Solanum lycopersicum: one gene and its partner. The protein of the gene in region 1 binds, or shares a complex with, the protein of each later gene. Links are inferred from orthologs where the notes say so. Each region holds a gene or a part of one and is shown on either strand. Other genes may lie near its edges.

The links. The genes of interacting proteins can lie anywhere in the genome.
Region 2: mediator of RNA polymerase II transcription subunit 23 (region 1) and mediator of RNA polymerase II transcription subunit 21 share a complex: the UniProt entries of both Arabidopsis thaliana proteins name them as parts of the mediator complex. The link is inferred for Solanum lycopersicum from reciprocal best matches to the Arabidopsis thaliana genes AT1G23230 and MED21.

The regions. Positions count from the first base shown.
Region 1 is NC_090804.1:17,738,638-17,744,411, forward strand, and holds part of mediator of RNA polymerase II transcription subunit 23, read right to left. Parts: intron 4,311-5,774; coding exon 4,162-4,310; intron 1-4,161. UniProt on the Arabidopsis thaliana protein: Component of the Mediator complex, a coactivator involved in the regulated transcription of nearly all RNA polymerase II-dependent genes.
Region 2 is NC_090801.1:60,838,365-60,844,694, forward strand, and holds mediator of RNA polymerase II transcription subunit 21, read right to left. Parts: upstream 4,156-6,330; coding exon 3,946-4,155; intron 2,807-3,945; coding exon 2,729-2,806; intron 2,557-2,728; coding exon 2,505-2,556; intron 2,381-2,504; coding exon of another isoform or gene 2,373-2,380; exon of another isoform or gene 2,359-2,372; coding exon 2,282-2,358; 3' UTR 2,001-2,281; downstream 1-2,000. Other genes in the region: polyadenylate-binding protein RBP45, read left to right, coding at 140-195, 271-401, 491-590, 681-851, 1,049-1,051; iron-sulfur cluster assembly SufBD family protein ABCI8, chloroplastic, read left to right, coding at 5,094-6,330. UniProt on the Arabidopsis thaliana protein: Component of the Mediator complex, a coactivator involved in the regulated transcription of nearly all RNA polymerase II-dependent genes.

The DNA.
Region 1 (5,774 bases):
TTTATGCAAGTATACATAAATTATCTCGTTGTTTGGTCATCAAAAAATACATAAATTACCTTGTAACTAATTCATGCATTGCTAATACCGGTATAATTCTAATTAGCTACCAAACAACCACTAATTGTTTTGATGATTTATTTTTGAATTTTTTGATGATTTTGAATCAGCTCAAATGTTATTAAGCCAATCATGTGATTTTATATCATCTAAAAATGACCAAACTGCATAGATGTAAAAGCCTGCTTTGGCATCAAACTCGTCTTATAAGACAGTGATAATTTTGAAAATCAGATAGTTCCTTGAGAATTTACCTTTAAACCCTTTTATCCTTATGCATTTGGACTATATATTTAAAAGACCCAGTAAGAGAGAACAAGTCAGATAATTATTAATGACAAAAACACTCATGTATCTTCAATCATTTTGAAAACTAGGGTTCCTTAGGACTCATTTTAACCCTGTTAATCCTTCACACTCTTCTACTATTAGCCTGCTAAATATAAAAGACCTTGGAAGTGCATAAAGTTTGTACTCAGAAAACAGTATCATACGTGGATTGTAATTCTATGGATGACTTCAAACTGAGCTATCCTTGAAGTAAACTCTTTTCAATAAAAGATGTGTCTAGTTTTCCGATGTCAGCAACTAAACATATCTGAAAGAGTGATAGTCTTAAAGTATGTGATATTGTCGTGGCTATAGAGGAAAACATTTGCAAAAATCTCAAGGGAGCTGAACAAACTGTACTACAAAAACTAGAAAATTTATCACTTGTTCATCTCATTGAACTAGAAATAGTGGAAGAATGTGTATCCTGAGAAGTAGTTTTCTGAAGAAGTCTTTCCGCATCTTATCAAATTTCTAAAGGGAGAAGAATACATAAGATATGGACATTCAGAGTCCTCATGTGTCCCATATGTGTCTGATGTATGTGAGATGACATGAATTTATGTACCCCAAAAATTTACAGTATTAAATGAATCGTTAGACGGACAGTGAACGCGTAATACCCTGAATCACGAACAAGTTTCAAATGATATAAAGATCAAGTTCAAGGCAACAAACATGTGTTACAGGATGTTTGGCGGAACCAGGGTCTAAACAAAAGGGGAAGCCGGGTGCACCACGCCTGGGTTTGGGGAAGACCGAACCACATTAAGTCCATTGTGAACACCCTTACCAACCATTACTGCGAGAGTGAGTTTCCATGGCTTGAACTTGTGACCCTTTGATCACACAACGACAACATCTACAAAAACAGGATGTCAAATAAAAGTAAAACCAAGTTGCTAGTACTACTGTGGGCCTCCTATGACATGGACATATTAAACTTCGTACTTCAGGAAGATAGAGGCAGAAAGTTCATATTGATAAAGCAGTGGAAGAAATTCCCATGCCGTAGAAGATGCAGAAAAAAGCTGTCAGTGAGCCAAGTACAGGTAGTTTCTTCTGCGACGCATACCACGGCACAAAGGGTTTTGCATACTTGTAATGGTCTCCTCATTTAGGTTCAAAAACTGCATTTTCATATTGGCTCACGTTTATGGAAAAAAAGCCACATAGTATACAGCTACTTGAAAAGATTAAATTCGGACTCAGTAATCTACCAAGAAGATTTTAGCAGACAGAAGGAAATAGACAAATTTTCATGAGTAAACTTGAATTTAGTCTTGAATTTTGAACCTGTAGCCTAAGAACTGAAGTTAGTTGTGTAAATAATCATGGGCAGCAAAGGGTATGGGAACCATAGTGTTGAATTCACGATGTTTATTATGTTTCCTTGCTAGAATATGGAAGGAACTACTATTGATGATTAGCAATAGCTTTGGTAGTAGAAATCAAGGGATTAGGTGTGCAGGCACCTAACCTTCTTAGACTTGTTCTCAAAGGCATGATATTGTAGAGAATAACAAAAGAAAATATAATTGGAAAAACCTTCTGCTAGCCAAGATCGTTAATTATGGTAGGAAGATTCCACTGAAGAGAGGAAGCTATGAAAGGAGAAGGAAGAATTAAGATAGTAGAACTTTGTTATGGATGAAGACTTTTTGAATTGGCACGAATTGCTTCGAGGTGGATATTTTTCTTTTGGGTTAACTACAAAGGACTGCCACCCCTATTTATACTTGTGTAGGGATGCTCTAGATACATCTACAAGAATAATCATGACAACTTAATCTTCTAACTATTTAACAAGAATCTGGAACTTCCAAACATATCGTAAAGATATGTATCCAAGACACTACATTAGTTCATTCTGGAAGCTTTCTTAAAAATATGTTCAGAAATGCAAGAAAGTTGTTGGATAGGTCAGAAGCTGCTGGAACTTCTCCGGAAAACGAAAAGTAATTGGAACTTGGCAGCAAGCAGATAGGAAGTGCTTGGAAGAGTAGGGCCATCTCAACGAAGTAGGAACAGATCAAAACAAGTTTCAAATTCAATAGTTTGTGCATTAGTAATTTTAGAATCATATTTACTCGACCACCATGAGGCCAAGCAGTAATTCCAATGGCAGCCGCAAAACACCACTACCAGCATAGAAACAACAACAATCATCACAAAAACATGCAGAGCAGAGAAGTGGAGTGTGGGGGCAAAAAGAAGCAAAAACTAGTGGGGAAGTGAGTGGAACATTGGGTATAGCAAGTGGGTCAACAGATTCTTGCAGAGAATATGTCGATTAGATCTCATAAATTCAAGTTCGTATGAGAAGACGGTGACTGAAAATTAACTCTTGCTGGCGTAGACTGTCGAAAGTTGAGGATTTAATCTAGTTGGAATTAGTTTTTCAATTCTTGCTTGAGTTTCAGAGTGAGCGTTCATGGTGGTTGAGGCCTGATAATAATGAATGTTCTAGATAAAGAAGATGACTTAAGAAAATGGGTTTATTTGTGTGTAATGGGTAAACTGAGTGGGTTAAATGGGTAATGGGTAAATTGAGTGGGTTAAATGGGTAATGGGTAAATTGGGTGGGTTAAATGGGTATGGGTGGATATTGAATTTTGGGTTAAATAATTAATTAAATCAGGTTGAGCGGTAGGATTGCGACAGGTGTACTAAATAAGGTTTCCGTTAGTGGGAGGGGTAAATGTGCACTGATTTTCGGACGGTAGGGTATTAATGAACGAAAAGTATGACGAAGGGTATTTATATACTATTAACGATAGTTCGGGGTTATATTTGTCCTTTTTCCCTTAAAAGAATTTGGAGTTTGCTACACCACTTGGGTGTAAATGTGTGTGATAATGTTATTCAAGGACTTGATAGAACAGTGATCACATATTTAAGAGAAGTGGTAACAATAAGCATGTGAATAATTTAAATATAACTAGAGGAATTTTTATGCATTTTCCAATGATCAGAGCTCAAAAGATGTGTGTTGCAGCAAATTATGTTTAATTGGATCGATTCTCCAAGATAAATGTCAAGTGGGTTTTGTTGTACTAGTCAACCAAGTTAGCCAGAGCCTCAGAAAACTTCAAGGATGACACTAAAAGTGTCACTATAAATTTTTCAGCACCGTGTGTACTTCTACACAAAGATGTAACAAAGCACCATCTCCATGTCAATTCAGACAAGATAGTAGGTTATTATCTTGGGTATCTAAATGCAATTCTAATACATCAAACAGATGAAGTTGAATCTCAATTGATTCGATCAGGAGAATCATATAAATCTGTCTGATCCAGTATCAGAAATACATTTGAACAAAAAAATGTAGAACTTTTATACTGATGATAAAACATTGAAAACTGAATCTGAGCTAAAAAGTTCATTTTGATCCAATTGAAGTTGTATCAAGTCAAACATGGGTGTATTTATTTACTCACTTTTACATAAAATAAATGTTAGTATAACAATGGTAATAGAAGCTATGCATAAGCATTGGACATAACCAAAGAGATACTTGGTTTGACGATTAAAATTTCGACATTCACCAACTATAACGAACTTTTTTATTGCACATGATAATGTCCAAGATGTTAAACAACATGTAATACCACAAGTGGGGTATGGGAGGTTCGAGTTTACACAGACCTTACCCCTACCTTAAGAGGTAAAGAGGTTGTTTCTGATAGACCTCCGGCTGAAGTATAAACATTTCAAACAACCAAACAAAAGAAAACACTGAAGAACAAAAAATGTTCACTTTGTTACCTCTCCTTCCATGACAGATAATTTCCAAGAGCTTTCTGCAATTCCACACGCTTGAAAGGTCCAGGGGAAAGCCAATGCTCAGGCGGGCCACGATTTAAGAGATAAACTTTCACTCTTTGTTGGAGCTCCTTACTGTCAAGTAAGTTAATCTGTTTGGAATTTTAACAAAATAAGTCACTATTCCAATAAATTGCAAATAACTACAACACTTACTTGAAAGTGATCACGGTGAGAAGGAAAGAGAAAATGAGAGAGAGCAAAGCTTGATTATTCTCTAAGCCATTGGAGTTCTAATAGAAAAGTGTGTGTTCTAAGAAGGGAAATAGAATTAAAAACATAATTACAGGAATAAATCAAGCTATAGTACATTTACATGATCTTAGCATATTCTAGAATATAAGGGATTCTAAGAGCATTCTTAATGTGAATGAAAAGCCCTTACAATCATGGTGAGGTTCATAATTAGAATGACCGCATATGCAGGAAGCGGAACATCCCATGGGAAACTGCAAACAGAAATGTTATGCAAACTGAACATAAATAAACTATTGTTTTCACTCTATAACACTTGAGATTTTTTCAGTCTTCTTTTTCTCATTTTTTGGATCATAACTCAAGTGAATTTCTCTTATTCATGCCATAATGAAGGAGAAACGGATATTAACACAGCAATTCTCTGCAGAAGTAAAATATCACTCTCTGGATACTGTAACGCCATTCCTTTTGTTCTCATTCCATAGTATTCGTCTTTCTATCATACTCAGAAAGGAGACGGAACATAACTTGTTTCAATAGGTCAGACAATAATTTGCAGTTGTTCTACCACTGTAGCATGAACCATGAAAATGGATTAGATTTTCCCTTTCTATAAATGGAAAGACAGACGCCAATCATTAGGAGAAATAATAGTGTTGAGCTAAGACTTCAAATAATTAGCAAAATGACTACATTCATTAACCTATGGGTGGAACTATGACGTTAGTGGGGCAGAAAGCTCAAGCTGTTGATGTCAACAGCAATAATAACCACTCACGAATAGTATGGACCCACTGCGAGCCAATAAACCAGATAGGCCTGGTATTATGCATTATCATGCATGATATAGAGAAATGAGATTCCATAAGCTTGGCATCTCATATTAATCAAATTCTTCAGAAAATTATTTATTTTTAGTAAAGGAATGAATATACTTTTGTTTCATTGAAATTCAGAGCCAGAGATCCCCCTCCCGCCTCATTTAGTTCTTCTCCGCAGTTCTTAATTGTGGAAGATAAACTTTCATACCCAAAATAAGCTGATTGGAATATAGTAACTGTGCAAGAAGAGTTACAGTTTGATTAGCTGAACTAGATAGTAAGAAATCATAGCCAAAGTGAAGATGATATCTTCTTCAAGCAAGCTAGTATTACCAGTTTGTCCTCATAAATGATAGCTTAAGAATGGAAGTATAAATTCTTATTGAAAAGGAATGAAACCAAACCCAAATCTAGAATAGAAAGCAAAGCATGACACCAAATACCATTTCCCCAGAATACAAACTTAGTATTGAGAGCAGAGAAAAAGTCAAAGAATACTATAATATAAACAAATAATGTAAAAACATCAACACAAGA
Region 2 (6,330 bases), on another chromosome or scaffold:
GTTTATTTATGATACATACATAGGCTTTCTAGTTTTGTATTCCTACTGTCCTTTCATTGCAATAATGTGCAATGTACTTCATCTTACTCATGGAGCATAAAGTTCACCCTCTATTCACATTTGCCTCTTCCATTTGCAGCTTCGTATCAAAGTTCACCTGGAACTCAAAATGAGGACGACCCATCTAATACCACTGTCAGTACATTTCTTTCTGGTATCATTTGATGTTTTCTTGGCTTGTACTCATATCCAAATGAATTTTCGTTGCAGATTTTTGTTGGGAACTTGGATTCCAATATAACGGATGAACATTTAAGGCAGATTTTTGGACACTATGGGCAGTTGCTTCATGTAAAAATACCAGTAGGCAAGCGGTGTGGCTTTATTCAGTTTGCTGACAGGTAAAGTAATAAATGAGCCTTCTCAAGAGGATCAATCTCAATTCTCAACGCTTTGAGAATTAACACATGGTCCATCCTTGTTATTGCAGAAGTTGTGCTGAGGAAGCTCTACGGGTATTAAATGGAACTCAGCTGGGTGGACAAAGCATCCGTCTTTCATGGGGTCGAAGTCCTGCAAACAAGCAGCAGGTAAGGAATGCCAAAATTATAATTTCTGTTTTCGGCACTTGCCAGTCAAATACCAATCTGAATCTTATGTTTCATCTCTGGTATGTGCAGCCTCAGCTTGATCCAAACCAATATGCTGGTTATTATGGGTATACTGCTGGATATGAAGGTTATGGTTATGCCCCCCCTGCTCAGGATCCAAATCAGTATTATGCGGGCTATGCTGGATATGGAAATTACGCACAACCTCAACAGCAGCAGCAAGTTTTGCAGCATCCTCAGGTTTGATTAACCCGTTGAGCTTATTTATTAACTAAAGCTACTTTATACCGACATCTCCATTTTGGAATAGAAATGACTGAAATTTTATGAGATAATATCTTTTTACTTGTATGGCCAAATGGGTTCTTAAACTGATAATAGTTTTTTCATAAAAAATAATGAGTTGTTTGAATACTTATCTCACTTCCTCCTTGCAGTGATATATGCTGGTGAAAGGATTTACTGAGTGCTTCCCGGCGTGATTTGTGTATTGATTTCAAAAGCGGGACATGAGGTTATCAGTTGGGATCCAGATGTGTATTTCACAATCTTAGGGTGTTGGAAACCTTTGTAGGCTATTTCATTGAGGATACAATTTATGGTTTCGATCAACTGATTGTATGCTGTTTGTTTTTTTATTTTTGCGTTGCCCTTTTATTACTTAGATATGAGATCTAGATATACTTGAAGGTCTTTGGAGAAGTGTAGGCATGTAACTGTATACTTGTGCTTTTTGGCTATCCTGGCAATGCTGAACACCCTATTTTGCTCGTTGCTCATTTTGGTTCACCTTTCAATAGCAATTCTTACTAATGTTTCCTCCAAAATAATTGCAATCGTCTGAATGATTTCCGTGATAGTTTTATTTTGATAAAAATGTCTTATGTATTGTAGTCTTCAATACGTCTCCTGCGTTAGTTTCTTCATTCATGTATTGATGCCAATTGTCATATGACGTGGTTGAGTCCTTCTACCAGTCATAGTTGGACCCACGTTCTATCTAAATTTTAGCATTCAACAAACCCCGATGGCTGTAAATTCTTCTCTTCGTTGCTGTCACGCTTACATATTAGGCAGACAAGGTTTTCTATATATTTTGTGTGGTTGCTACTTGTTTTCGGCCACGCCTCAGTTCCAGCACGACAAGAAAATATTCTGGCGATATGCAATCTAAACTCCCAAAGTACCCAGACACAGCCCAAAATGTGTCTACGAATTAAAATCATCAACTCGGTAGGGTAGTTGTGCATGCCAGCTGCCATGTTTTGGGATCACATGTTTACGAAGTCAGTCTGATAATTGCATAACTTTTGACAAGTGCTGGAGCAGAGAAACTAGCCAACTTCTAAATTGAACACGTGGCACAGAAGACACTAATATTTAAGGATGTGGAGACAAAAAAACTGCTGATTTTTGCTATTTAGGCACATTATCCCTACCTCTTTTCATTCTATAAACACAGCTCTAAACCAGATACAATAGTATACTGAATTCTTTTCTTCAGCAGTGGCCAAGAACTTAAAAAAAAAATAATGTCAGAGCATGCCTAATTATAATTAGTTAATAAATGTACCCATAACAGACATGGACACAATCAATTTGTTGTTCCTCCAGGGTATATTCCAGCAAGAATGGGCTCCTCAAGCAAACTGAAATATCTACTACCTTATTCATTCTGGCTTCTTCAAGTTCAGGCAGTTATCTGTTGCTTGGTTAAACAACTCCTGGACCTGCTTTAGCTCCTTCTCTAAATCACCAAAATCAGCAAACTGAGTCTCAGAATAAACAAAAAATTAATAATACAGACAGGAAAACGGAAATTTGGACCTTAGCCTAATCAGAACAGCTTCCACTATCTTTCAGAAAGAAAGCAAGGGAAAAACAAACTCTTACCTGCAGCTTCCAGTTGTTTTTGAAGTTCTTGGCCAACTGCATCGTTCTCAGCCTACATCACATACATACACAACCGAGTAAGACTACTAAGCCCAAAATAGACAGACTAATCTTTATTTATCCTTCTTTATTTTTTTAGTTTAAATACTGTTAAGCTATAACACATCAGAATTAGAGGATGTCAAAAAGTGAATTCCACCAATTATTCACAAAGAAGCATATACCTGGAGTTCTGCAATTCTTTTCAATTGGGCTTCTTCACTCCCATCCGATAAAGGAAGAGCAGCAACCAACACATCGAACTGCTCAAAGAAGGATAAGAAAAAGAGAAGATAGATTTAATACAATGACATTGTAGCAAAGCATACACTTTAGGATCACAATGAAAATTTGCAATTGGTCTGAATTAGAGCCACACAATCCTCAAGGCTACTCTCAAGTGTCGGCTGTGCTGCTTAAGTTTGATAGGATGCTAGATTAGACAACCTCTGATTGTGAGGCCAAGAAGAAAACAAGGGAAACATAACTGTAAACTTGAACACCTTAGAACTAATCACAGGGTTGTCCATATACATTTCATAGAAGACAGCTAAAGGGCGATAAACTAGAACTCAGTTTTCCGGTTTTGACACCAGGTTTACCCGGTGAGTCTTGGCCTAGATGTCATGGTTACCAAACCTGAGAGGCTGACATCAAGTTCTCTAGTAAAAATCCCTAGAGGCATGCAATCCTGTCCAGCTAGTAGTTGGAATTTGTCCGCCATTATGTGATTCAGTCAAGTTTTATTGAAGTAGTTGGTGATGCTAATAGCATTATTGTATTTCTCGTTAAACTAAGGACAAAAGACTAGGTATTTGAACTCAACCACACTGGTCTCAGGAATCAGGACTAAGGTCTTTGAACTCAACCACGCAGGTCTCAAGTCTGAACAAACAAAGACTTAATATCATCTGGTATAGAACTGCATGTACGCATTAGATATGATGAGCCAAGATACAACTTAGTGTTATCTTGTATAGAACTGCACAAACACATCATATATCTAAAGATTTGACGTTTCCAAAAGTAAACATACTAGTCAAAAGAAGACAAAAGAAACATTATTTTGTCCAAAAATGATTTTTTGAAGGAATGGTAAGTGCATTTGTAATACAGCACCAAGAAGGTGCAATCAACAACATTTACAGGGAACACAAAGATATACCTTCCTATTCTTAAAGGGATTCTACAAGTTCAATCACTTATTCAGGCTCATTTACAAAAAAAATGTCTACACAAAAAAGGAAACTAAACTAAATAGTTTATCTTGATCTTCCGAAAAAAGAGAAAATTCCCTATTCTCGAAGTACACGCAGATTACTTTTATACCCTGGTCTGTGGCTTGTTCATATTCGTTGATGAATAAGCAGAAAAAGTGAAGGTATGGAGTATGGAGTTTCACCTGCTTGGCAGCCTTAACAAAAGCAGCACTCATTTGCTTTGGTTGTTCTGCAACATTAGCTGAGTCTTCTGTGGGATTAGCAGGTGGAGGTTCTGGATAATTAGGTGATAGACGCACAGGAGGGGCGTCCCTCTGAAGAGTACCAAAGGTGTTGAAAGCAAGAGCTGCAATTGTATTTACTTGTTCCTGTAACTGTGATATGATATCCATCTTCCAAATCCTTCCCTTTATTGCTAACAAAAATGGTGAATTTTGAGAAAAGATCGAACAAAGGAATAGAAAACAGAGGAGAAGAACTTACCTGAAAACCCTAGAATTGGAGGTCCGGGTAGAGCCGAAGTAGATTCGATAATCTGTTACAATTGTTTTAAAATTAGACCTAAAATTAACCATTATTTCAATTAAATTTTACGAAAAATGCTCAAAAATATTTCTGAATTATCCGAATTAGCTCACATATATCTTTAAATTAAATTCTAGCCCTTCTATTAAAGTATTGAGTTATTTTTACCCTTAATTTTAACAAAGGTGTGTTAAGTGTCACCTGAACGCCACGTGGACACCATATGGATGCCACATGAGCACCAAAAAACATCATCTCCATGTAGACTCATAAATCTTAATTATTAATTTTTTTCTCATTTTCATTCATTTTACTTCTCTAAAACATAATACGATTTCCCTTTTTTTTTCTTAGACGATTTTCTCTCTTATACGATTTTCCCCAGGATTTTACAAATTTCTCTTATGAACGCCATTGAATTTCTGAGTAAATTTCGTCACTTTCTGAGTTTCACCGTTCTTATAGATAATGCACAAACACCAGTCCTAATTTGTAAAGTAACATGCACAAACACCAGTCATAACTCTTCACATTTACTTGTTTTTATTTTAAACCTTTCAACATAAAGTCTGACTTTATCATTATCAAGTGAGCGCTTAAATGACATAAAATGCAACAAAAATAATTTAGCTTTACTATTTTTTTTAATTGTTTTTTTTTTGTTGTTGTAATTTAGGCTTTGAAAAGATGCACGTGGTCAGCATACGACATCTTAGATCAGACACCACAAAAAATTAAAAAAGAAACAAATAAAATTTATGTTTGCCTTCTCATCCTGCTTCTTTCTATCTTCTAAGCATCAACTATGGCTTCTCTTCTCACCAACGGAATCTCACACTTCTGTCCTCAATCCATCGCTGAGCAGCCTAAACTCCCAAAAGGGTATAACTTTTTGCCTAATTCACCCGGCCCCAAAATCTCAAATCCAGGTAATTTCAAGATTAAAGCTGCTGATGCGAAGGCCACTGTTGAAGTTCCAGGTAAAGAATCATCTTTATCAATCTCAAATGAAGGCGACCCACTTCAGAAATTCTTGAAAAGAGACTATAAATGGGGTTTTAATGAAAATATTGAATCTTTTGCGCTGCCAAAAGGGCTTTCGGAGGATACTATTAGGTTAATTTCATCAAGAAAGAATGAGCCTGAATGGATGCTTGAGTATAGATTGAAATCGTATGAGAAATTTGTTAAAATGAAAGAGCCGAAATGGTCTGATAATCAGTACCCAGAAATTGATTTTCAGAATATTTGTTATTATTCAGAACCTAAAAAGAAACCAACTTTAGATAGTCTTGATGAGGCTGACCCTGAGCTTGTTAGGTATTTTGATAAATTGGGTATTCCTTTGAATGAAAGAAATCGTTTAGCAAATGTTGCAGTTGATGCTGTTCTTGATAGTGTTTCTATTGCTACAACTCATAGGAAGACCTTAGAGAAGTCTGGTGTGATTTTTTGTTCGATTTCTGAGGCTATTAGGGAATATCCAGATTTAGTCAGGAAGTATTTGTTTAGAGTTGTGCCCCCAGAAGACAATTTTTACGCGGCTCTTAATTCAGCTGTGTTTAGTGATGGATCATTTGTGTATATACCCAAGAACACCAAGTGTCCTATGCAAATATCTACTTATTTTAGAATAAATGCAATGGAAACTGGGCAATTCGAGAGGACTTTGATTGTTGCGGATGAAGGGAGTTTCGTTGAGTATTTAGAAGGGTGTACAGCACCTTCATATGATACAAATCAGTTACATGCTGCTGTGGTGGAATTGTATTGCCATGAAGGTGCAGAGATTAAGTACTCAACCGTGCAGAATTGGTACGCTGGAGATGAGGAAGGGAGAGGAGGGATTTATAATTTCGTTACAAAGAGAGGAATATGTGCTGGGGCTAGATCGAAGATATCATGGACACAAGTTGAGACTGGCTCAGCTATTACCTGGAAGTATCCAAGTGTTGTATTAGAGGGTGATGAATCAGTTGGTGAATTCTATTCTGTGGCATTGACCAACAACTATCAGCAGGCAGATACAGGAACAAAGATGG